3 linked regions of the Pelodiscus sinensis genome follow. The protein of the gene in region 3 interacts with the protein of the main gene of each other region in a biochemical or structural test. Links are inferred from orthologs where the notes say so. Each region holds a gene or a part of one and is shown on either strand. Other genes may lie near its edges. The genes, in order: THBS1, SERPINF2 and PLG.

The links.
Region 1: the proteins of PLG (region 3) and THBS1 form a complex in vitro, tested with the Homo sapiens proteins (2 studies listed by BioGRID). The link is inferred for Pelodiscus sinensis from reciprocal best matches to the Homo sapiens genes PLG and THBS1.
Region 2: the proteins of PLG (region 3) and SERPINF2 form a complex in vitro, tested with the Homo sapiens proteins (2 studies listed by BioGRID, with this or other methods). The link is inferred for Pelodiscus sinensis from reciprocal best matches to the Homo sapiens genes PLG and SERPINF2.

The regions. Positions count from the first base shown.
Region 1 is NC_134714.1:60,614,031-60,621,932, forward strand, and holds the start of THBS1 (thrombospondin-1), read left to right. Parts: upstream 1-4,867; 5' UTR 4,868-5,201; intron 5,202-5,485; 5' UTR 5,486-5,511; coding exon 5,512-5,578; intron 5,579-6,503; coding exon 6,504-7,081; intron 7,082-7,692; coding exon 7,693-7,768; intron 7,769-7,902. UniProt on the Homo sapiens protein: Adhesive glycoprotein that mediates cell-to-cell and cell-to-matrix interactions.
Region 2 is NC_134731.1:919,422-927,377, reverse strand, and holds the start of SERPINF2 (alpha-2-antiplasmin), read left to right. Parts: upstream 1-4,941; 5' UTR 4,942-5,084; coding exon 5,085-5,101; intron 5,102-7,956. Other genes in the region: WDR81 (WD repeat-containing protein 81), read left to right, coding at 1-448, 769-914, 1,066-1,245, 1,816-2,142.
Region 3 is NC_134713.1:113,979,064-113,986,824, reverse strand, and holds the start of PLG (plasminogen), read left to right. Parts: upstream 1-4,720; 5' UTR 4,721-4,750; coding exon 4,751-4,877; intron 4,878-7,761. UniProt on the Homo sapiens protein: Plasmin dissolves the fibrin of blood clots and acts as a proteolytic factor in a variety of other processes including embryonic development, tissue remodeling, tumor invasion, and inflammation. In ovulation, weakens the walls of the Graafian follicle.

The sequences.
Region 1 (7,902 bases), on a different chromosome or scaffold from region 3:
ATACTTACAGATTGAAAAATGTTATTAAAACTAACCTTTCAAATAAAGTTCACGGTACATAAGTTACAAAGCAAGGCACTATACATCTGGGGTCAAGCTTGGGTTATGGAAAGTTACAAGAATCAGATTACACAGTTTGTGAGGTACATATTATACATAGTATACATAAACAGCATTGTCCCAATCCGAGGTGTGGAGAGAGGTAACTAATGGTGTTCCCCAACGGTCCCTACTGCGACCAATCCTAGTCAACCTATTTATAAATTATCTGAAGAAAGGGATAAACAGTGAGGTAGCAAAATTTGCAGATGATACCAAACTGCTCAAGATAGTTAAGAGCAAAGCAGACTCTGAAGAGCTTCAAAAAGATTTCACAAAACTAAGTGATTGGGCAACAATATGGCAAATGAAATTTAATGTTGATAAATGCAAAGTAATGCACACTGGAAAAAATAATCCCAACCATGCATACAATATGATGGTGACTAATATAGCCATACTACTCAAGAGAGAGCTTTTGGAGTCACTGTGAAAACATCCACTTGATGTGCTGCAGCAGTCAAAAAAGCAAACAGAACGTTGGAAATAATTTTTAAAAGGATAGCAAATAAAACAGATAACTTCTTATTACCTCTATATAAAACCATGTTATGTGCCACATCTTGAATACTATGTACAGATGTGGTCCACTCATCTTAAAAAAGATATATTGGCATTGGAAAAGTTTCAGAAAAGGGCAACAAAAATGATTAGGGATTTGGAATGGGTCCCATATGAAGAGAGATTAAAAAGCCTAGGACTTTTCAGCTTAGAAAAGAGGAGACCAAAGGGGTATATGACAGAGGTCTATAAAATCATGTCTGGCATGGAAAAAGTAAATAAGGAAAAGTTATTTACTTGTTCCCATAACATAAGAACTAGGGGTCACCAAATGAAATTAATAGGTAGGAGGTTTAAAACAACAAAAGGAAGGATTTTTTTTTCACACAGCGCACAGTCGGCCTGTTGAACTCCTTGCCAGAGGAAGCTGTGAAGACCAGGACTTTAACAGGGTTCAAGAAAGAACTCGATAAATTCATGGAGATTAGGTTCATCAATGGCTATTAGCCAGGATGGGTGGGAATGGTGTTCCTAACCTCAGACAGAGGCTGGGAATGGGTGATGGGAGAGGAATTTCTTGATGATTTCCTGTTCTGTTCACTCCCTCTGGGGGATCTGGCACTGGCCATGGTTGGAAGACAGGATACTGGGCTGTCTAAACGGAACATTGGTCTGATCCTGCATGGCCATTCTTATGTTTGTAAAGCAGCGGAGAATAAGTGGTCTTGGGAATGCCACCCATAATGCTTATAGCATCACCGTCCATGGCAGTAAAGCACATAGGTACATGAGTGGAGTATGTCCCCGGGTCTGTCGGTGTCTTGTGGGTTTTCTGTGAAAAAGATAGTCTGTAAAGGAAAGGAGTAAGGGAGTGAGTGATTACCCTGATGTTGTCTCTTGTTGGTGGCCTTGTTCACTCATCCTGTGATGTGCTTCATGTGATGTGCTTCGTATGGATGTTTCCGGACCACTGGATGGTGCTGGATACCATCAGCTGTCCAACTATACTTGATTGATCTTGATCTTAGCCAAAAGGCCAAGAACCAATACACTTATTCCTATTCCCTATGCACACTACCACCCCACCACAGCTAAAGCCATAGCTGAAGACTGCTGCAGAGCCCTGGGCCAGAGCCACCAGGATCCTGGGTTTGGCAGCAGTGCCCTAAGGACCAGTAACCCAGGGCAGTGACAGAAAGGCCAGGGGAGGGGACCTTGAGGCCAGTGGCTGAATCCTCAGTGTGAGGGCATGCTGGGCACAAACCCAGAGGGTGCTACAGCACCCCTCAAACTGTACTTCCTACACCTATCAACACTGTTCTCAGTCTGGACTATTCTCAGACATGACTTATACATGCTCCATCATCAGCAATCCCTGGAGGTTAATATTACAGAGATATACCTATCTCATAGAGCTAGAAGGGACCTTGAAAGGTCATTGAGCCCAGTCCCCTGCCTTCACAGCAGGGCCAAGTACTCACCCTGATAGATTTGCCCCAGATCCCTAAATGGTCCCCTCAAGAATGGAACTTACAATTCTGTGTTTAGCAGACCAATGCTCAAACCACTGACCTATTCCTCCCCTCACACACATTTATTTATTATGGGTCCTTTGGTGACTGAAGAATGGGATCCCTGAGCCACAGGCTCATTCTCAGACATTGCAATGATGTTGGGAGTCAAGGTTAGGCCGCAACTGCTGCGTGACAGTTCTCATCTTTTCTGTTTTTGTGTGTGTGTGTGTGTGTGTGTGTGTGTGTGTGTGTGACCAAGGCCAGGGGATTTTCCTCAGAAACAAATTATTTCTTTCTTAACAGGTCTTTACCAGTTAACCCAGTACTGGCCTACTGTCTCCCAGTGTGAGGTGTCAATGTCATATCTCATTGGCTGTCTACACACTGGCATGAATTTCCGGAACTGCTTAAAACGGAATACTATTCCGTTTTCAGTTTTTCCGGAAAAGGAGCGTCTACATTGGCAGGCTGCTTTTCCAGAAAAGCCCTTTTTCCAGAAAAGCATCTGTGCATCCCAATGTAGACGCGCTTTTCCGGAAAAGAGCCCCGATCGCCATTTTCGCGATCGGGGCTTTTTTCCAGAAAAGACTACTGGGCTGTCTACACTGGCCCTTTTCCGGAACAGTGTTCCGGAATAAGGACTTATGCCCGAGCGGGAGCAGAATAGTTTTTCCGGAATAGCGGCTGATTTTGTACAGTAGAGCGTCGTTGCTTTTCCGGAAATTCAAGGGCCAGTGTAGACAGCTCGCAGCTTATTCCAGAAAAGCGGCTGATTTTCCGGAATAAGTGGCCCAGTGTAGACACAGCCATTATGTTTATCTTAAGCATGTCTTTAAAGCATTTCTTTTGGACTCCTGGTTTCCTTTCTCCTTTGGTGAGTTGGATTTACAGCAGTTGTTTTGGTAAGCATATACCTGTCATGTGCACACACAGCCCACTCCATCTTAGCTGGTGCTGGATAATCAGGGCTTCAATACCTGAAGAAGGTGGCCTCTTTGGGGACACTGGCTTTAGTGTGATGATTCTCACACTTTCTGTTGAGGATCTTCTGAAAAAAGTGCTGGTGCTGATGTTCCAGGTTTTTCTATAGGCGTTTTCAAAAGGTCACCCAAGTCTCTCAGCCATGCCTTCTGCACATAACATACACTGCACTCATACACTACTTGCACACAACACTGCATACTTACATACCCTCCTGACACACACTTCATATTACCTATGCATGACTTACACCTCCCTCACATACTATTTATCTGCACTGCCCACCAGAGACTATACTACATTCAAACTCAGCATTATTACTGGCAAGCACTAATTACACACTGCTCAAGTCACATATATCCTGCCCCCTATCCAACCCACTCCCACACATTTCACTCTAGCACACTCTCTGTGAATTTAAAGAGACGTGTGTCCAGTCTGCCTGTCCCTGCTCTGACCTGCTTTCAAATTTGGGATTGGAGGGTTGTTGTCCAGAGAAGATCGGTCACCTGGGGCTCCTGGTAACAAGGCAGTGCTGAAAGATGATGAGTTCATACCTTTCATCTCACCCACTCCATTGCGGAAGAGCTGCTGCTGCTCCCTCTCACGTCAGAGCCAGAGGACATGAATGGGATTCCAGACAGCTGGAGTAATGTTGGCACGGGACGGGTTCTGTGTGCACTGGACAGAGACACCGCGTACACTGGGAGAGGTTTGAGAAATCAATCGCCGCCACCCGGGCCAGGGACGTGCCCAGCTCCGCGCAGCCATTAACGCGCGTCTACTCTCAGAAGCGCACGGGGGACAGAGAAGACAAGAATGAACGATGTGTAGGAAGCAGATAAAAGAACTGGCAGGAGACTTTCCCCCATAAACGAATAGCGATTGATGAGGAATTTGGTGACACCATCATTCCCTCAAATACACACGGAAGAGTCGCACGGAAAGCACCATAGGGGAGACAGGGTCGGGAAGGGCGGGGACTAGTTTGAAGATGCAACTTCATTAATTCTATAAAAGGGGAAAATGCACTTTTCCCTTTAGGAATGATTAATTTGGGAACCATTTCCTCCAGGCCTTGGCGATAAGAATTCGCTGGGCGCCCCCAAGCGGACAGCTCGGGTTTTAACGCCGCGAACTTGATCCTTTTTGAAAGTGTGCCCAGGATCCAAGCCATGCAGCGAGTGAGCGCCCTAACACGTTCCCCCACTGAAGGAAGGCCCCTGTCTATGTCTCATCTCCCCACCCCCGCTGTGCAAATAGCCTGACAGAGACATCCAGGCGCAAAGGGGGCCCTGTTACCCGTAAAAAGAAAGTCACCGCGGCCACCCAATGTGAAGAACACGCGTTAATAGCGCACGGTTACTGTAGCACTATCACATCAGGAGATTAGCTCCTGGAACAGGAGCAGCGGAATCAGACTGGAGAAACCATCGCTGCCCGGTGGTAATTTGCTCTCCCTCATTCCAACTAGTGCCCGGCTGGTCACAGGCGGTTTATACTCCCAGCAATTCCCTGCACCCCGAATGAGGCAGGACAGGTCTGTCACAGCGAGGGGCAGAGCCCTCTGCCTACCACGTGCTGGGCGTAGAGAACTGAGGCTGGAGTGTGATCACCTCCCTGCCCCCCCCCCCCCCCCTTTGAGCGGTTTGTTTCTCGTTTGTTGTGAGGTAACTGGATAAACACCAGCCCGCTTCCTGCCCGGTCGCTGCTGATTGGCCCGCGGGACTTTCAGGAATGTGCGCGACCCCTTAAAGGCGAGAGCGGCTCCTCCAGCCGCTTCACTGCACTGGCCAGAGGCTGAGCGCCAAGGGAAACCTGCGGGGGCTGCAAGCAGCTGTCGAGCCGATCCACCAACCGGGACTCGCGGCTACTCACGGACTGCTCCTGGAACACCAGCGCCCCAGCACCAGGGACACTGACACTGCTCGGGCTGGGGCTTTGCTGAGTGTGTGTCTAGCGCGCTAGGGGACAATCACTCACCTAAGAGTCGTCAGGAGAATCCAAGGGCTTCCAAAGGATATTGATCGCTCTTCACTCAGTGGCTGCAGGAGATATTTCATCCCCGGGGTTATCTTTAAGGTCTCAGCATCTTTCCCTGTAAAGGTAAGTGCAGAAGCAGCACTTTAATTTCCCCTGCCACTTCATGTAATTTGTAAAAGACAAAATCTAAAGAGGGGGGGGGGAAACGCAACTGAAATTCATGGGAGGGGAGGGGTCTGTGTATCTATCTACACGTCCTCCTCAATAGTCCCGCTGCTCGCGCCTTAGCCCTTTGCAATACTTTTCATCTTCAGGGTACCTGACAAACCTATTGCTTGCCAGCCTCAGACTCCCCCAAAAATTCTTCTGGATGTAATGAGGATGAGACTTTCTTTTATTTTTCGAAGGTTTGTCTTGAAGACTGGTCTTTGCCATGGAGCTATCAGGCGGACTTTTTCTCCTCCTAATGCTAAGTGTCTATGCAACAAACCAGATCCCAGGTAAAAACAATTACTTCATTCTATATTTGGCAATTATAAAGAGATTTATTGGGTAAATATTAATGGTCAGGATTTTTTTTAAAGAAATCTGGTATCTTTGGTGTTGACTTTGAAGGAATGAAACCTTAAACTGTGATGAAGAGCTGCTTTGATATTTCTAGCCCACAAAAATGCATTAGCCTGGGGAATATTCAGATTAGTGGTTATGAACAGCAAATTATTTCCTCCTGTGCAGAATTTATGTAACCTTCAAACAAGGAAGGACTGAACACTCAAGGACTTCAAAGCAAAGCATGGTTTACCTACCTTTCCACATTATGCATGGGGAAAATGTAGCTGAGGAACTAAAAGAAGCAATCTGGCATTGTCCCCTATCTGGCCTGTATTGTGCATTATGTCTCAGCATAGACCTCAGACCATATAGAAACATTATTTATGTACTAACTGAGATCTCTATAGGTAATCAGTGAAAGTCTCACTTTAGATTTTTAAAATGGGATCTGATGGGGTGGACACTCTGCTCTCTTCCCCTTGTTCTTACTGATGTGCTTCGCTGCCTCCTCTATTAGCACTCAAAACACCACTCACTATTGTCCAGCTAGCTTTGTATGTAAGTCAGGATGTGCTTCCTAGCATCCCTACAGAAATGCACCATGCCCTTCTGTACAGCAGCCCCCCTACAGGGCTGCATTAGCTTCATAGCTGCCCATACTTGCATTGTTGCTATATCAGCTCCCCACCCAATTGGACTGATCTTCAACTTCCATTAAAAGTCCCTACTCAGCCTCAGTGAACACCAGCTCACAATGGGATTGAGCTACTTTCTCAGCCCCCAGCACCTGACTGCTCCCCCATCCCAGGGGTTGCACAGCCATTTGGCCCCTTTCTATCTTTGTTCACAATGCTTACTCTGGTCTCTCCACAGAGTCTGGGGGAGATGATAATAGTGTATTTGATCTCTTCGAACTCATTGGCTTCACTCGCAAAGGAGCCGGACGCCGTGCAACTGGGGTGCAGTTGGTGAAGGGGCCTGAGCCTTCCAGCCCTGCTTACCGCATTGAGGATGCCAGCCGCATCCCTGCCATGCCTGATGACAAGTTCCAAGATTTGCTGGATGCCATCTATGCTGAAAAGGGCTTCATTTTGCTGGCTACTCTCCGGCAGGCCAAGAAGAGTCGGGGCACCCTACTGGCTGTGGAGCGCAAGGACAGTTCGGGCCATATCTTCAACCTGGTGTCTAATGGAAAAGCAGGCACTCTGGATCTGAGCCTGTTTGGTGATGGGAAGCAGCAGGTGGTTTCAGTGGAGGATGCCCTATTAGCCACTGGCCACTGGAAGAACATTACCCTGTTCGTGCAGGAGGACCGGGCCCAGCTGTATGTAGGGTGCGAGAAAATGGAGAATGCTGAACTGGACATCCCCATCCAAAACATCTTCACCAGAGACCTGGCCAGCAGTGCCAAGCTCCGCATCGCCAAGGGTGATGTCAATGACAACTTCCAGGTAAGACTCTTTCTCTCAGTCAGCATCTTCATGGGGTTCCTTCAATGAGAGAAACCCTTAAAGGCACAACGTCCAAACCTACCCCCACTAGAGAAAGAGTAGTAATGAGAAGAGGAGGGTTCTGATCAGCTTGTGCAGGAAAATTGTCCACCTTCAATATAAATAGTCCCCACAATCTATTTGCATATTAAGTGAACTGCAGAAAATCCTCTTCAAATCCCAAGCTCTTTAAAGCTCTAGACTTGTTTTAGATGAGACCTGATGAAATTTCTCAGACTACAAGAAAAACTTGAAGTTTCTGACCCTACTACACTGATCAGATAAACAGTTGTCTAGCAAATTTTAGTAAACAAAAATAAAGCCTGGAATATAGAGGAAAAGAGGACATTGTGCATCTGTGGAGTTGTTATACACTGAGAGCTGGTGAAAAGAGTATTCAGACACAGGACTTGCTATCACCAGGTAGAAGGGGTAGTGAAGCATTCTGGACATATGCCTCACTCTAGTGCCTTTGAAACTTTTGTTGAAATTGAAACTGGCTTCCTGGGCAAAATTACACGTCTTTCCCCTATAGTTTCTACAAAACACTGTCATTTTCCCTCTGCCAACAGGGAGTGCTGCAGAATGTGCGGTTTGTCTTTGGAACAACCCTGGAAGCCATTCTAAGGAACAAAGGTTGCTCCAGCTGTAAGTCTACAACTTTTTCTGAATCTACTGACCTATTAAAAATAGGATTCCTCAGCATGCTAGGAAGACAAGTTGAGACAGAAGTGAAAGTATGCTGATATGAAAATCATTATTGTATAAGAAAATACAGGATT
Region 2 (7,956 bases), on a different chromosome or scaffold from region 3:
AGGTCCAGCTCGCTCTGCTTCAGCCCCCGCGGGGACGGCCTTGGCCCGGGGGCAGCCGGGCAGGAGAACGCCCTGAGGCAGGAGCTGCCCCGCGGTGCCCACATGCTGTGTGGGAACTGGCTGGCCTACTGGCAGTACGAGATCGGGGTGAGCCAGCACGACTCCCGCTTCCACTTCCACCAGATCAAGCTGCAGAGCTTTGTGGGGCACACGGGGGCCGTGAAGTGCGTGGCCCCGCTCGGCGGCGAGGACTTCTTCCTGAGCGGCAGCAAGGACCGGACCGTGCGCCTCTGGCCCCTCTACAACTGCGGGGACGGCACCTGGGAGACGGAGCCGCGGCTCACGTACGCGCAGCACAGGAAGTCGGTCTTCTCCGTCAGCCCGCTGGAGGCCCCGCAGCAGGTGGTGAGCTGCGACGGGACGGTCCATGTCTGGGACCAGTTCACAGGTGAGGGGAAGCCAGGCTGGGGTGAGTGGCAGAGCTGGGACCAGGCCAACGCTAGTTCTGCACCCAGCCCTGCCCGCCGCCGCTGGCTGGCACCTCTGCAGTGGCGCTGTCCTGCCTGGCCAGCTTGCCGTGCAGGGTGCCCTGTGTCCCCCTAGAGCCGGGCTCTGTCCCGTCCTGCGGCCGACGCCTGGGGGGCCCTGCAGCTGTGCCGGGCTGGGCACACCCAAGGCCTGGGACTGCTTTGGTCTGGGCATGGTGCCCCAAGCCGGGACGCCCGCCTGCTGCTTGTGCACCTCGAGAGCTGCTTGTTCTTTCCAAAGGCAAACTGCTCCGGACCTTCGACGCTCCGGACAGCAAAGTCCCCATCACTGCCATGGCCACCATGCCTGCTCCCCACAGCAGCATCGCCGTGGCCAGCGCAGACTCGGTGCTGCGCTTCATTGACCACAGGAAGCCAGGAGTTCAGGTACTGGGGGCTTGGCTGTCCCTAGCCCTCAGGGGCACCTTCCGCACAGCTGACCCTGCCTGCAGGGTGCGGGTCTGGCCTCCCTTTGCTGCCCCTGCTGGGGATCCCTCCCGGTGCCCAGTAACCGGGGCTCCCTGCCTCTCCCCGGCAGCACGAGTTCCGGCTGGCCAGTGGGGTGAGCGCTGGACTCATCCGCTGCTTGGCCATCAGCCCCAGTGGGCGCAGCGTCCTGGCTGGCTTCTCGTCGGGCTTCATTGTGCTGCTGGACACCAGGACGGGGCTCATCTTGAGGGGGTGGCCGGCCCACGAGGGAGACATCCTGCAGCTCAAGGTGAGAGGTGGGGCGGGGGTGATGGCAGGGCTGGGGGGTCCTGCTCCCCTGGCTCTTGCCGCCTTTCCAGTGTGGGTGCAGACGTGCCCGTTTGCCCCCCCCGCAAGTCTCCAGCTCTTGGCTGACTTGGGCCTGGTGCGCTGGCTGGGGGGCTGCCGTGGGGCGGCCCAGCCACAGGAGCTGCGGTGCGTGGGCGGGTGCCGCTCGCAGCCCGTTCTAATGAGTAACTCTTGTCCATATTTACCTGCCCCCAGCAGCGGGGCCGCAGCGTGTCCTTGACCCAGTTGGGGTTAAGCAAAGTTCACCTGTGGGGGCTGTTTACCTCTCCTCGCGGGTGGCGCTGGGCGGGCGGGCGGGCGAGGCGGAGACGCGCTCCGTGCACGGTCCCGTGGGGGGCCAGACGTCCGCGGTGAGCCAGAGATGGGCGGGAGCCTAGGGCCACGCTCCTGCCAGCGAGAGAGGCCGGGGCGCCCTGGGGGACAGGCTCCTGCCGGCAGGGTGGGGCGCCGGGGGGCGGGGGCCAGGCTCCGGTGGTGCAGACCTGGCTTCACTGCACTTTCTCACCTGCAGGCTGTAGAGGGCAGCGTGCTGCTCAGCTCCTCCTCCGATCACTCGCTGACGGTCTGGAAGGAGCTGGAGCAGAAGCCTTTGCACCAGTACAAATCGGCCTCCGAGCCCGTCCACGCCTTCGACCTCTATGGCAGCGAGGTGGTGACCGGCACGGTGGCCAACAAGATCGGGGTCTACTCCCTGGGGGAGTCCTCTGCCCTGCCCACCAGCACAACCAAGCTGAGTTCGGAGAACTTCCGCGGCACCCTGACCAGCCTGGCCGTGCTGCCCACCAAGTGCCAGCTCCTGCTGGGCTCTGACAACGGGCTGATCCGCCTCCTGGCGTAGGGGCCTCCGCGGCCAGCTCTGGGGGGTAGCACCTAAGGCCAGTACTCCACTTCTGGGCAGGGCTGAGGCCTTTCCCCGGGGGCCCCAGTAAATCCCCCGCCCTGCCTACCTTCAAGAAGCCATAACGGAGGGACCTCCACTGCCTGCTGCTGGGGGGAGTTTGGGCGTTGCGGGGCAGCGTCGCCCCTCTGGAGGCCTGGAGCCTTCCACACCGCGTGTGCCTGAGCTGCTTAGGGACGTGGGCCGGGCGCGGGGCGAGGCACACGGCCCCCACCCTGCACACTCAGCCCCCCGGGCCGGGCTAGCGCCGCACTCGGGTCCTCAGGGCAGTGGGAGGCAGTGGAGCCAGCTCTCTACCCAAGGCAGCCACCACCTGCTGCCCGCCCTCGGTCGGGGGTGGGAATGCACCTGCCCCAGCGGCCAGGGGGCAGGAACTAGATTTGGTGGGGGGTGCTCCTAGCCAGGCCCCCTGGTGGGGGAGGGGGAGGAACGTCTGCCCCCCAGAGGCAGAGGCCAGAGGGGATTTCTTTTGCCTGCTGTGCTGGGAGCAGCCCCCTCAGTGCTGGGCGGAGTTGAGGCTCGGGGTGGGGGTGGCTTGAGCCCTTCCTTGCTGTCCTGCCTCTCGCTCTACCCTAGCGGGCGGGACCCCACAGGCCTGCCACTCGGTGCTGCCCTCGGCCCCAGGATGCCCCCTCCTGCCGGAGACCGGCCCTCTCTGTGCCCTTGCGGGGGCTCCCTGGGCCTGCCTGCCCGCCCCGCTCTGAGCCTTTGCAGAATGGTGCTGGGCAGGCGGGGTCAGGGCCAGCCTGTGCCATGGGGTTAACCATGCACGTCCCTCCCAGGCACTGGGGGGGGCTGGCACTCTGCCAGGCTGGGAGCCTTTGGGGGTCTCTACTCCCCACAGAAGGGGGCTGAGCACTTAGTCCCTCGCTGCCCCTCGCCTGGGGGGGGCTCTGTCCCTTGTTGCCTATTAACTCTTTGCAATAGATGTAAATATTTCTTCTAATAAAGAGACCATGAGAGGAGCCTTTCTGTGTGTGCTGCTGTGGGGGATGGGTGGGCGGGAATGGGGAAAAACACTCGTGAGCGTGGGGGCCTTCACAGAGTGATACATGCTGGTGCTCTCATGCAGCCAGGCCTAAAACATCCTTGGACTTTCTAAACATTCCTGCCCCAAAAAAGTGCTGCAGTCAACATGGGTCAATTCTATGTTAGACCTTGTCCTCCCTGATAGAGAGGAACGGATCACAGAACTAAAAGTTAAATGGTAGCTTAGGTAGCGGTGATTATAACTTTTCACATTTATAATGTGCAAAGAGGAAAAACACCAGACCCATAATCTATATTCCTGGTGCTCTAATAGGGCCAGTTTCACAAAGCTGAAAACAAGCATGAGCCAAACACTTGTGAGGAAGAATTTGATCAGAAAAGAAGTGAATGATAAAATAGGACTCTTAAGAACATCTTCCTCAATGTCCTTTCTCCTCCTCCTCCCCCCCCCACAAACAAGGAAAAGGGCTGTGCTGATTAAAAAAGTCACCTGGGCTAGAGAGGAATATAGGCAATTGTATAAAGTTCAAAAACAAAACCAACAGAAAATCCCGACAACAAAATGTAACAGATGGAAGAAAAGGGAAAGCTATTAACAGTTTAATATGAATTTGAAGGCAGTAACTGTAGAAAATTGATAAGGGAAGCCAAGGGCTGCAAGGAGAGATCAATGGACAGGAAGGTGTTTTTTAAATAAATGGGGGTGGGTGGGGTGGAAATGAATGTTTACAATGATATTGGTACATTAGTATATGAAAATGGCAGAATTCTTAATACAAAAAATGCCATTTTCAATTAGTATTTCTGTTCTATGTTGCGGGGCGGGGGGGGGGTGGACATAATGCAGTCTTGATTGGTGGATGATAAAACTCTTTCCGTTCCACTAGTTACCCTGGAGGATGCTGTTCAGATGCTATTAGAGTTTGGTATTTTAAAATCAGCAGGTCTAGATAACTTGCAACTAGGAGCTTTAAAAGAGCTGGCTGAGGTGCCTGCTGGACCGTTAACGTTGATTTTCAGTATTTGAGAGGAGTGGGACAGAAGACTAGAAGATCGCTCATGTGCCAGTTTTTGAAAAGGGCAACTGAGTTGACCAGTCAGGATGTCAGTCACAGCCAAGGCACTGGAGTGACGGCCACGGTAATTAAAGAACTACATGAGGATTCTGTCATTAATGCAGCTCAACCAGCGTTTATGGCCAAACAGCTTGTCAGACTCATGCTGTGGTGGTGAAGGGAAGTGTGTTGGCCTAGCAGACACCCGTAAAGTATCTGACTTGTCCATGTCATGCTGATTCCAATAAGACCAGACTAAATGGAACATGGCCTGTGAAATGGGCTAACTGCCCAGTAAATGGCGCCTTGGGGCGGCTCCCAGGGACAAGGGAGGGGCAGCAGCCCTCTTGCCCTCGCTCAGGGCTGTACCAGCTGACCAGTAATGCCAGGCCGGGTCAGCCCCAGGAGCCGGGTGAGGCTGAGGGAGCCGCAGCCGGAGGAGACGTGGGGTTAGAGGCCAGAAAGCTGCAGTTTCTCACAGAAAACTTAAGACTAGAGGGGGGGAGTGGCTACGAAAGCCCAGCCCTGTGGCTCTGAGGCACGAGTGGCGGGTCGCCCTGCCCCACAGGCACAGGGGGGGGACTCTGCACTGGCCCCACTTCAGACCCGGGTCCCTCCTGTCCTTGGGGTGCAGCGACCCGGAGCCCCACAGCGACCCCCACTGCTCCAGCCCAGGACAAATGTTTAACCGGACGTTCAAAGTCAATATTTGTTGAAAGAAATAAAGGGCGGTAGCGAAGGTCGTGCCTGCACTGCCCGGCAGGCGTGGGCTGGACACGTCTGCACCGCCCCATGCAGAGCCGTCGGCTGGGCTAGAGAGGGGCCGCACCCGCAGCGATGCTTCGCAAACGGAGGTAGGGGCAGAGTTGCTGGGGGCCAGGGCTGCTCCAGGGCTCTGTGTAGGGGGGGGCTGAGAGCCAGGGGGGTCAGGCCTGCAGTGGAGTCTGGGGGGGGGGGCTGAGAGCCAGGGGTGTCAGGGCCTGCAGTGGAGTCTGGGGGGGGGGGGGCTGAGAGCCAGGGGTGTCAGGGCCTGCAGTGGAGTCTGGGGGGGGGGCTGAGAGCCAGGGGTGTCAGGGCCTGCAGTGGAGTCTGGGGGGGGGGGCTGAGAGCCAGGGGTGTCAGGGCCTGCAGTGGAGTCTGGGGGGGGGGCTGAGAGCCAGGGGTGTCAGGCCTGCAGTGGAGTCTGGGGGGGGGGGGGGCTGAGAGCCAGGGGTGTCAGGCCTGCAGTGGAGTCTGGGGGGGGGGGGCTGAGAGCCAGGGGTGTCAGGGCCTGCAGTGGAGTCTGGGGGGGGGGGGGCTGAGAGCCAGGGGTGTCAGGCCTGCAGTGGAGTCTGGGGGGGGGGGCTGAGAGCCAGGGGTGTCAGGGCCTGCAGTGGAGTCTGGGGGGGGGGGGCTGAGAGCCAGGGGTGTCAGGGCCTGCAGTGGAGTCTGGGGGGGGGGCTGAGAGCCAGGGGTGTCAGGGCCTGCAGTGGAGTCTGGGGGGGGGGGCTGAGAGCCAGGGGTGTCAGGGCCTGCAGTGGAGTCTGGGGGGGGGGGGGCTGAGAGCCAGGGGTGTCAGGGCCTGCAGTGGAGTCTGGGGGGGGGGGGCTGAGAGCCAGGGGTGTCAGGGCCTGCAGTGGAGTCTGGGGGGGGGGGGGGGGCTGAGAGCCAGGGGTGTCAGGGCCTGCAGTGGAGTCTGGGGGGGGGGCTGAGAGCCAGGGGTGTCAGGGCTGCAGTGGAGTCTGGGGGGGGGGGCTGAGAGCCAGGGGTGTCAGGGCTGCAGTGGAGTCTGGGGGGGGGCTGAGAGCCAGGGGTGTCAGGGCTGCAGTGGAGTCTGGGGGGGGGGCTGAGAGCCAGGGGTGTCAGGGCATGCAGTGGAGTCTGGGGGGGGGGCTGAGAGCCAGGGGTGTCAGGGCTGCAGTGGAGTCTGGGGGGGGGGCTGAGAGCCAGGGGTGTCAGGGCTGCAGTGGAGTCTGGGGGGGGGGGCTGAGAGCCAGGGGTGTCAGGGCCTGCAGTGGAGTCTGGGGGGGGGGGGCTGAGAGCCAGGGGTATCAGGGCTGCAGTGGAGTCTGGGGGAGGGGCAGAGAGCCAGGGGTGTCAGGGCTGCAGTGGAGTCTGGGGGAGGGGGGCTGAGAGCCAGGGATGTCAGGGCTGCAGTGGAGTCTGGGGAGGGGGGCTGAGAGCCAGGGGTGTCAGGGCTGCAGTGGAGTCTGGGGGGGGGGCTGAGAGCCAGGGGTGTCAGGGCTGCAGTGGAGTCTGGGGGGGGGGCAGCTGAGAGCCAGGGGTGTCAGGGCTGCAGTGGAGTCTGGGGGGGGGGGGCTGAGAGCCAGGGGTGTCAGGGCTGCAGTGGAGTCTGGGGGGGGGGGCTGAGAGCCAGGGGTGTCAGGGCTGCAGTGGAGTCTGGGGGAGGGGGGGGCTGAGAGCCAGGGGCGTCAGGGCTGCAGTGGAGTCTGGGGGGGGGGGGCTGAGAGCCAGGGGTGTCAGGGCCTGCAGTGGAGTCTGGGGGGGGGGCTGAGAGCCAGGGGTATCAGGGCTGCAGTGGAGTCTGGGGGAGGGGCTGAGAGCCAGGGGTGTCAGGGCTGCAGTGGAGTCTGGGGGGGGGGCTGAGAGCCAGGGGTGTCAGGGCTGCAGTGGAGTCTGGGGGAGGGGGGCTGAGAGCCAGGGGTGTCAGGGCTGCAGTGGAGTCTGGGGAGGGGGGCTGAGAGCCAGGGGTGTCAGGGCTGCAGTGGAGTCTGGGGGGGGGGGCTGAGAGCCAGGGGTGTCAGGGCTGCAGTGGAGTCTGGGGGGGGGGCGGCTGAGAGCCAGGGGTGTCAGGGCTGCAGTGGAGTCTGGGGGGGGGGGGCTGAGAGCCAGGGGTGTCAGGGCTGCAGTGGAGTCTGGGGGGGGGGGGCTGAGAGCCAGGGGTGTCAGGGCCTGCAGTGGAGTCTGGGGGGGGGGGCTGAGAGCCAGGGGTGTCAGGGCTGCAGTGGAGTCTGGGGAGGGGGGCTGAGAGCCAGGGGTGTCAGGGCTGCAGTGGAGTCTGGGGGGGGGGGGGCTGAGAGCCAGGGGTGTCAGGGCCTGCAGTGGAGTCTGGGGGGGGGCTGAGAGCCAGGGGTGTCAGGGCTGCAGTGGAGTCTGGGGGGGGGGGGCTGAGAGCCAGGGGTGTCAGGGCTGCAGTGGAGTCTGGGGGGGGGGGGCTGAGAGCCAGGGGTGTCAGGGCTGCAGTGGAGTCTGGGGGGGGGGGGCTGAGAGCCAGGGGTGTCAGGGCCTGCAGTGGAGTCTGGGGGGGGGGGGCGGCTGAGAGCCAGGGGTGTCAGGGCCTGCAGTGGAGTCTGGGGGGGGGCGGCTGAGAGCCAGGGGTGTCAGGGCTGCAGTGGAGTCTGGGGGGGGGCTGAGAGCCAGGGGTGTCAGGGCTGCAGTGGAGTCTGGGGGGGGGGTTGAGAGCCAGGGGTGTCAGAGCCTGCAGTGGAGTCTGGGGGGGGGGGGCTGAGAGCCAGGGGTGTCAGGGCTGCAGTGGAGTCTGGGGGAGGGGGACTGAGAGCCAGGGGTGTCAGGGCTGCAGTGGAGTCTGGGGGGGGGGGGGGCTGAGAGCCAGGGGTGTCAGGGCCTGCAGTGGAGTCTGGGGGGGGGGGCTGAGAGCCAGGGGTGTCAGGGCTGCAGTGGAGTCTGGGGGGGGGGCTGAGAGCCAGGGGTGTCAGGGCCTGCAGTGGAGTCTGGGGGGGGGCTGAGAGCCAGGGGTGTCAGGGCCTGC
Region 3 (7,761 bases):
GTGGCTTAACCACCATGTAAAAGAAGCAGTGAGGGACAAAAAGGCATCTTTCAAGAAATGGAAGTCCAATCCCAGTGAGATAAATGGAAAGGAACATAAACACTGTCAAATTAAGTGTAAAAATGTAATAAGAAAGGCAAAAAAAGATTGAGGAACAGCTAGCCAAAAATTCAAAAAGCAATAGCAAAATGTTTTAAGTACATTAGCAGCAGGAAGCCTACTAAAAAAACAGTGGGTCCCCTAGACAATCGAGATACAAAAGGAGCAATCAAGGATGACAAAGCTATTGCAGAGAAGCTAAATGATTTCTTTGCATCAGTCTTCACTGCTGAGGATATTGGGGAGATTCCCAAACCTGCACCATCCTTTGTGGGAGATGAATCTGAGGAACTGTCCTGGACTGAAGTGTCATTAGAGGAGGTTTTGGAACAAATAGAGAAACTTAACGTTAACAAATCACCGGGACTGGATGGCATTCACCCAAAGGTTCTAAAAGAATTCAAATGGGAAATTGCAGAACTGTTAATTGTCGTTTGTAATCTATCCTTTAAATCAGCTTCCGTACCTACTAACCAGAAGATAGCTAATGTGACACCAATATTTAAAAAGGGCTTTAGAGGTGATCCTGGCAATTACAGACCGGTAAGTCTAACGTCAGTATCGGGCAAATTATTCAAAACAATAGTTAAGAATAAAATTGTTAGGCATGTAGAAGAATATAATTTGTTGGGCAAAAGTCAACATGGTTTCTGTAAAGGGAAATCGTGTCTTACTAACCTATTAGAGTTCTTTGAAGGGGTTAACAAACATGCAGACAAGGGGGATCCAGTAGATACAGTATTCTTAGATTTTCAGAGAGCCTTTATCAAAGTCCCTCACCAAAGGCTCTTGTGTAAGTTACATTGTCATGGGATAAGAGGGAAGGTCCTTTCACGGACTGCGAAATGGTTAAAAGACAGGAAACACAGGGTAGGAATAATGGTAAATTTTCAGAATGGAGAGGGGTAACTAGTGGTGTCCCCCAAGGGTCAGTCCTAGGACCAATCCTATTCAACTTATTCATAAATGATCTAGAGAAAGGGGTAAGCAGTGAGATAGTAAAGTTTGTGGATGATACTAAACTGTTCAAGATAGGCAGAACAGAAGCAGACTGAAGAACTTCAAAATGATCTCACAAAATTAATTGATTGGGCAACATAATGGCAAATGAAGTTTAATGTGGATAAGTGTAAAGTAATGCACGTTGGAAAAAAATAAACTCAACTATACATATAGTATGATGGGGGCTAATTTGGCTACGACAAATCAGGAAAGAGATCTTGGATTTATCATGGATAGTTCTCTGAAAACGTCCACACAGTGTGTTGTGGCAGTCAAAAAGGCAAATAGAAGGTTAGGAATTATTAAGAAAGGGATAGAAAATAAGACACAAAATATCTTACTGCCCCTATATAAATCTATGGTACGCCCACATCTTGAGTACTGTGTACAGATGTGGTCTCCTCACCTCGAAGAAGATATTTTGGCCTTGGAAAGGATTCAGAAAAGGGCAACTAAAATGATTAGAGGTTTGGAACGGGTCCCATATGAAGAGAAGCTAAAGTAACTGGGACTTTTCAGTTTGGAAAAGAGGAGACTGAGGGGGGATATGATAGAGGTATATCAAATCATGAGTAGTGTGAAGAGGGTGAATAAAGAAAAGTTATTCATTAGTTCTGTCCCAGAGGCCCCAGTTGGCTCCGTGTATTTCCCTCGGTAGGGCTCCAATGCCGCGGGTTGCACGGCCACCACTCCCGCTGGCGGGGTGGGGGTCCGGGCCCTCCCTCACTCCCGGACCCCGGCCCAGGGCCCTAACACCAGAAGCTCGGCTCCTGATGAAAGCAGGTGGGGGCTTGCCCCTAAACGCGCCTGCTCACAGGCTCCGCGACCCTCCCTGGGCCTGCACAATCCCGCCCGTTTCCCCCTCCCTCTGTTCCGGGGACTCCCTCACCTCCCTGCTTTAGGCTGCCTCTTTCTTCTTCCCGGTACCTCCGCCCCTTCCTACGAACTCTTCCTCCCCCCTGAGACCTCTGTCGGCCATGCCTTTATCCCCAGCCTGGCCCCTTTCTTCCTCCACTTCTGGGTGCCCCGCCCCAGCCTGCCCCGGTTGCGCTGGTGACGTCAGCTGATGTCACCGGCACACGGTGATGACCCCTCCCGTCTCCGATCTCCTGCCATCCCGGCGGGGCTGGTACTAACCCCGCCGCTTCACCATCCGTGGCCGAGCTTCCGGGTGGCAGCTGGTGACGTGGTTGCTTCACCCCATCACAAGTTCCCATAATATAAGGACTAGAGGACACCAAATGAAATGAATGAGTAGCAGGTTTAAAACTAATAAGCGAAAGTTCTTCTTCACACAACGCATAGTCAACCAGTGAAACTCCTTGCTAGAGGAGGCTGTGAAGGCTAGAACTATAAGGGTATGTCTACACTACCCCGCTAGTTCGAACTAGCGGGGGTAATGTAGTCATCCGCATTTGCAAATGAAGCCCGGGATTTGAATTTCCCGGGCTTCATTTGCATGAAGCCAGCCGGCGCCATTTTTAAATGCCGGCTAGTTCGGACCCCGTGCCGCGCGGCTACACGCGGCACGGACTAGCTAGTTCGGATTAGGCTTCTAATCCTAACTAGCTGTACACCTCGTTCCACGGGTCCGAACTAGCCGGCATTGAAAAATGGCGCCGGCCGGCTTCATGCAAAATTCAAATCCCGGGCTTCATTTGCAACTGCGGATGACTACATTACCCCCGCTAGTTTGAACTAGCGGGGTAGTGTAGACATACCCTAACAGAGTTTAAAGAGAAGCTAGATAATTTCATGGAGGTTAGGTCCATAAAAGGCTATTAGCCAGGGGGTAGGAATGATGTCCCTGGCCTCTGTTTGTCAGAGGCTGGAGATGGATGGCACGAGACAAATCACTTGATCATTTCAAGAAAGATGTGGAGAAATTGGAAAGGGTACAGAGAAGAGCGACAAGAATGATTAAAGGTTTAGAGAACGTGACCTATGAAGCCAGGCTTCATGAACTGGGCTTGTTTAGTTTGGAGAAAAGAAGATTAAGGGGGGACATGATAGCGGTTTTCAAATATCTAAAAGGGTGTCACAAGGAGGAGGAGAAAATTTGTTCCTCTTCGTTTCTGAGGACAGGACAAGGAGTAATGGGCTTAAAGTGCAGCAGGGGAGGTTTAGATTGGACATTAGGAAAAAATTCCTAACTGTCAGGGTGGTCAAATATTGGAATAAATTGCCAAGGGAGGTGGTGGAATCTCCCTCTCTGGAGATATTTAAGAACAGGTTAGATAGACATCTGTCAGGGATGGTGTAGACGGAGCTTGGTCCTGCCTTGAGGACGGGGGGCTGGACTCGATGACCTCTCGAGGTCCCTTCCAGTCCTATGATTCTATGATTGTGTTCGGTCCACCCCCTCTAGGGCACTTGGTGCTGGCCACTGTCGGCAGACAGGATACTGGACTAGATGGACCTTTGGTCTGACCCTGTACTGCCATTCTTATGTTCTTACGTAATTATCAGCTACCTCCCAGAACTGATCTTTTCCTGCACAACTCATCTTCTCCTGCAATGGGACTAATCCCTGCTGCTAATGAAAATCACATTTCTCTAGTCTGCTACCAGAGTTCTCTAATGAGAGCCTACTCTCTGCAGTATTTCACCGAGGGCCTAGGAATAATTTTCATTACAGCAGGAATTCTATAGCAGGGTAATAATGGATCTTGTCCAGAAAGTGAGAGTGTTTCACAGAACTACAGGCAGGAACAGCTCTAGGCTGTATAGGGCTCCTATGCAAAATAACACATGTGGAGTTCAATCCAGCTCCCATCCAATCTACATGTGCTTTTCCTTAATTTATTTATACCCTCACCTTATCCGTAGTCCGTTTGGAACTTCCTCTCCCTCAGGATCTCCTGAGTTACTTGCATGTTTGATTCCACAGTTTGAGGTGAGGCTCCCTCACCAACCCAACATAGTCTGGGAGGCTACAAAACAATGTTAAAATGCAATTTTTCCAAGAGAAAGGGCATTGCAGGAATTAATCTGGTAGTGTTTGAAATCAGTCTGGGACAGGGGTGTGGCGCACTGGCTAGAAGATTTGGTGTGGGTGTGGCTATGTCTGTGGAAAGGAGGAGCCCAACTGTAGCAACATAGATATCATAGACCTAAAGTCAAAGTCAATAGTGATCAGACATTGTTAGGAATTAAAACAAAACAAGCCCTCCTCTGTAAGTAACCCCCACCAACAAAATCCAACCCTAGAGTAGGTTTAAAATTCAAATACAATGAGAGAGGGATTTTTTGATGAAACTGCAGTATGACAATATAATATAATTAACAGTATAAATCAGGCATAACTGCATCTATGTCAACAGAGCAGTGTGAGATTAGCGTCAGGGCCTTGCCCTTCAAGACCCAAACTAACAGCAACGTGCATTCTGCTCCATGGCCTTTTCTGTATTTTTCAGTAATACTATCCCAGTCTTTAGGTTGGCAAAATGAGGCCTAACAATTTCAGAGTTAAAGCATGCCCTGTATGATAGGAGAGCACTTTCATCTTCTCCCAGAATCTAATACAAACATTGAAACATTATTTTGTAAGATCTTCAATTCAAGGTAATATTTGAACATTTAGATCGGGACAGAGTGGGTCACAGAACCAGGAGAATGATTAACTTAATTTGACTATCTTGTTTGCTGGATGCTAAGTCGAGTGCAAGTCAATAAAACTGACACAGCATTAAACACAGCTTTCAGCACAGAGCCAGCCTGTCCCAAAATGGGGATTAGCAAAGCCGTCTTTCTGTTACTTTTATTTCTATACCCAGGTAAGGTTTGTTTATATTGCATTTTAATCAAAGTGAGATACTGGCCAAAAATTCCAAATTTGGTGCTTGAAACGGGGTGCCTGAATCCATATTTAGGTGCCTAATTCAAAGGACCTGATTAGTAGAGATGCTGAGTAACCACAGCTACTAGAGGGGAAAATGGGAGCTGTGGTGTTACAGCAACTCAGCAAATCAGGACACTTGTATTTAGCTGCCAAATCTGAAATCTCTGACCTCTATATTTAACAGTGCAAATCTGTAACTTTTCTAGACTTTAGAGATGTGTGTGAAAGCCACACAGCCCAGGGCCACTTCTCTCAAATCTTTATTTATTGTGTCAAAGCATGGCACCTACAGAAAGGGGGCCCTGCAGTCCTGACATATTGCTATTGCTAGTATTTATTAGTATTAAAGAAGAGTTCAAACTGCAAAATTCAAATTCTATCTCAATTTCAGATGCTTTCAAAGCACTGCTTACGGTGGCCTGAAAAAATGTGTGTGAGGGGGGTGGAGGGGCGTGGGGGTTGGAGATCTAGCGTAATCTGAGAGCAGTGTTTTTGTTAAAACAGTGCTTAAAGTGCACCCTTCAGTGACCTGACTTGATTATTACTACTATTATTATTGCCAGGCCTGTGACCCCTTGGGGATCTCACCTCTTTAAATGCTTCAAGAGCATTTTAGTTCAGAGATTAGGCTTTCCCATTAAAAGAGCAAGCACTAGCCACAGTATTTCTATCCAGAGCCCTAGTTCAGATTCTAAATTCCTTCAAAGCACCAGAATCTGCTGAATTTTTGTTTTGCCTCCTCTACATTTAAAATAACTTATTATACACTATATTGTATAATATATTATTTAAGTCTTATTTCCTGATTTGTTTGTTCTTCTGATTCAATACCATTAGGTTATTTGCTAATTTTTGTGATTGGGTTGTACCATGCAGCCCTTTGAACAAATAACACTCATGTTGAGTTATTTGCAACTTTGTCATTCAATAAGCCTTAAACAAAGGATTTGGTAGCACTAAATGGTGTAAATTAGGAAACTTCTGACACAGGCCCAGTGGCAACAAAGCTCTGACATATTGATTCTTCTCTTTGCTAAAGTCCCAGGAAAAATTATGTACCCGCTCTTCAATGTTTTTGTTTTGAACAAGTAACTTTAATGTGTTATGAGCAGATTTCCAAGTGGCCAGGTTTTCAGAGGTAATGAGTACCCACAAATCCCATGGAAGCCAATGGAAACTGCAGGGGCTCAGCACCTTTGAAAAGTAGGTCAATACAGGCCTAATATAAAAGCCATTTCAGTCCATGAAAAGACTCTCATGGACTTCAGTGGGCTTTAGATCAGGCCCGAGGTCTGATCAAATATCCCAAAGCTGGGTGCTTTTCATTTATTTAGTGAAGTATTACAGATTAGGGTTTTTTTGTTTATTATTAAATCCAAAGTTGTTGTTTTTTTTAAGCAGAAACAAAAGAAAGCATCCCACTATAGCATGGAGATGTTAGTCTCTTCTGTGGCCAGCTTCCTGTAAGAGGCTTTCTTATTACTTATTTGTGTGGGGTAATAGATTGGAATTTAATCTTCAGTCGTCTAGACGCCATAAGATTAGTTTTTTCAAAAGATAAAAACCAAGAGGATTTATGAAATGCTCCACAATATGTTAAGCCTTTTAAAATACATATTTGTTTTTATGAAGATCAGCAAGTGCTATGGACATTTTGAGTAAGTACTTTGTGTGCTGTACAAATGAAACTTGACTCAGCTATCGGAACCTGATGGCATTTCCTGCTACAGTCATTGTATATGCCTACATGAACTGCTGCAATAGCGGTTTTAAAAGTAAGGTTAGCAATCAAGTCAATAGTTCATATGCTTATGTAACAACTTTATCTTGCTAGAGATCATACGGAAAGATGATAGAAGAAATCAGGGATATTTTGTGTTTGTAATTATGGGCAGGGCCGGCTCAAGCCATTCCTGCGTCCCGGGCAGCGGGCGCGCGACGCATGTGCGGCTCCACCCCCCAGAGCACTGCGCACCCTACAGCCGCAATCGGGCACGTGGCGCCTGATTGCAGCTCTAAGGGGCGCCACGCAGCCCCCGGCCCTGGGCGCGTGGCACCCCTTACAGCTGCCATCAGTTAACCCCCATAGGTTGGTGCCCCAGGCAGCTGCTCAGCTAGCCTTCCCCCCTTAATCTGGCCCTGATTATGTGGGAGTGAGGGGTATAGGAGAATCAGGTCTTACAAAGGTAAAAGGTGTGACTAGATTCTAGCAAATAGACTTAGGATTTAGAAATATTACATAGGGGACCGTCTATAACAAAATATAGTAATTATTTGATGTTAAAGCATATCCAAGTGAATTTAAATTCTGGATTTTGACATGTATAATTCCAATTAAAATCGAAAGGATTAGGTGTTTACAAGATTTTGTCCTCTGTTGGCAACATGTTCAAGAAACATAACCAGCATTGGCCTTGCCAATATGTTCATGGGCATTTCTCAAACTGCTGTAAATGTGAATCTTGGCTTTCTTTTCTGAATAAGAAAATAACATCTTGTTAGTATTAGAGAATTCCACAGACTTAAAAAAAATAGCAATAGGTACATATCACACACAGACACAGTGCTGGGTGAATAACAAGATTCAACATTATCCACATACATTTTCCTTGTTTTCTCAAAGTACTGTTTTCTATAGTGATACTATGAGGGAAAAGAAAAAAAATCAAATGTTTTTAAAATTAATTTAATCTAATTTTGGACCATTGACATTAAAATGCCTTAATCAGAATTGTATCGTTATTGCATAATCTTGCTATAGGGCACAGGCAAGGTTGTCTGGATACAGTTTGTTTTTATATCTTAACATATTTGGACTT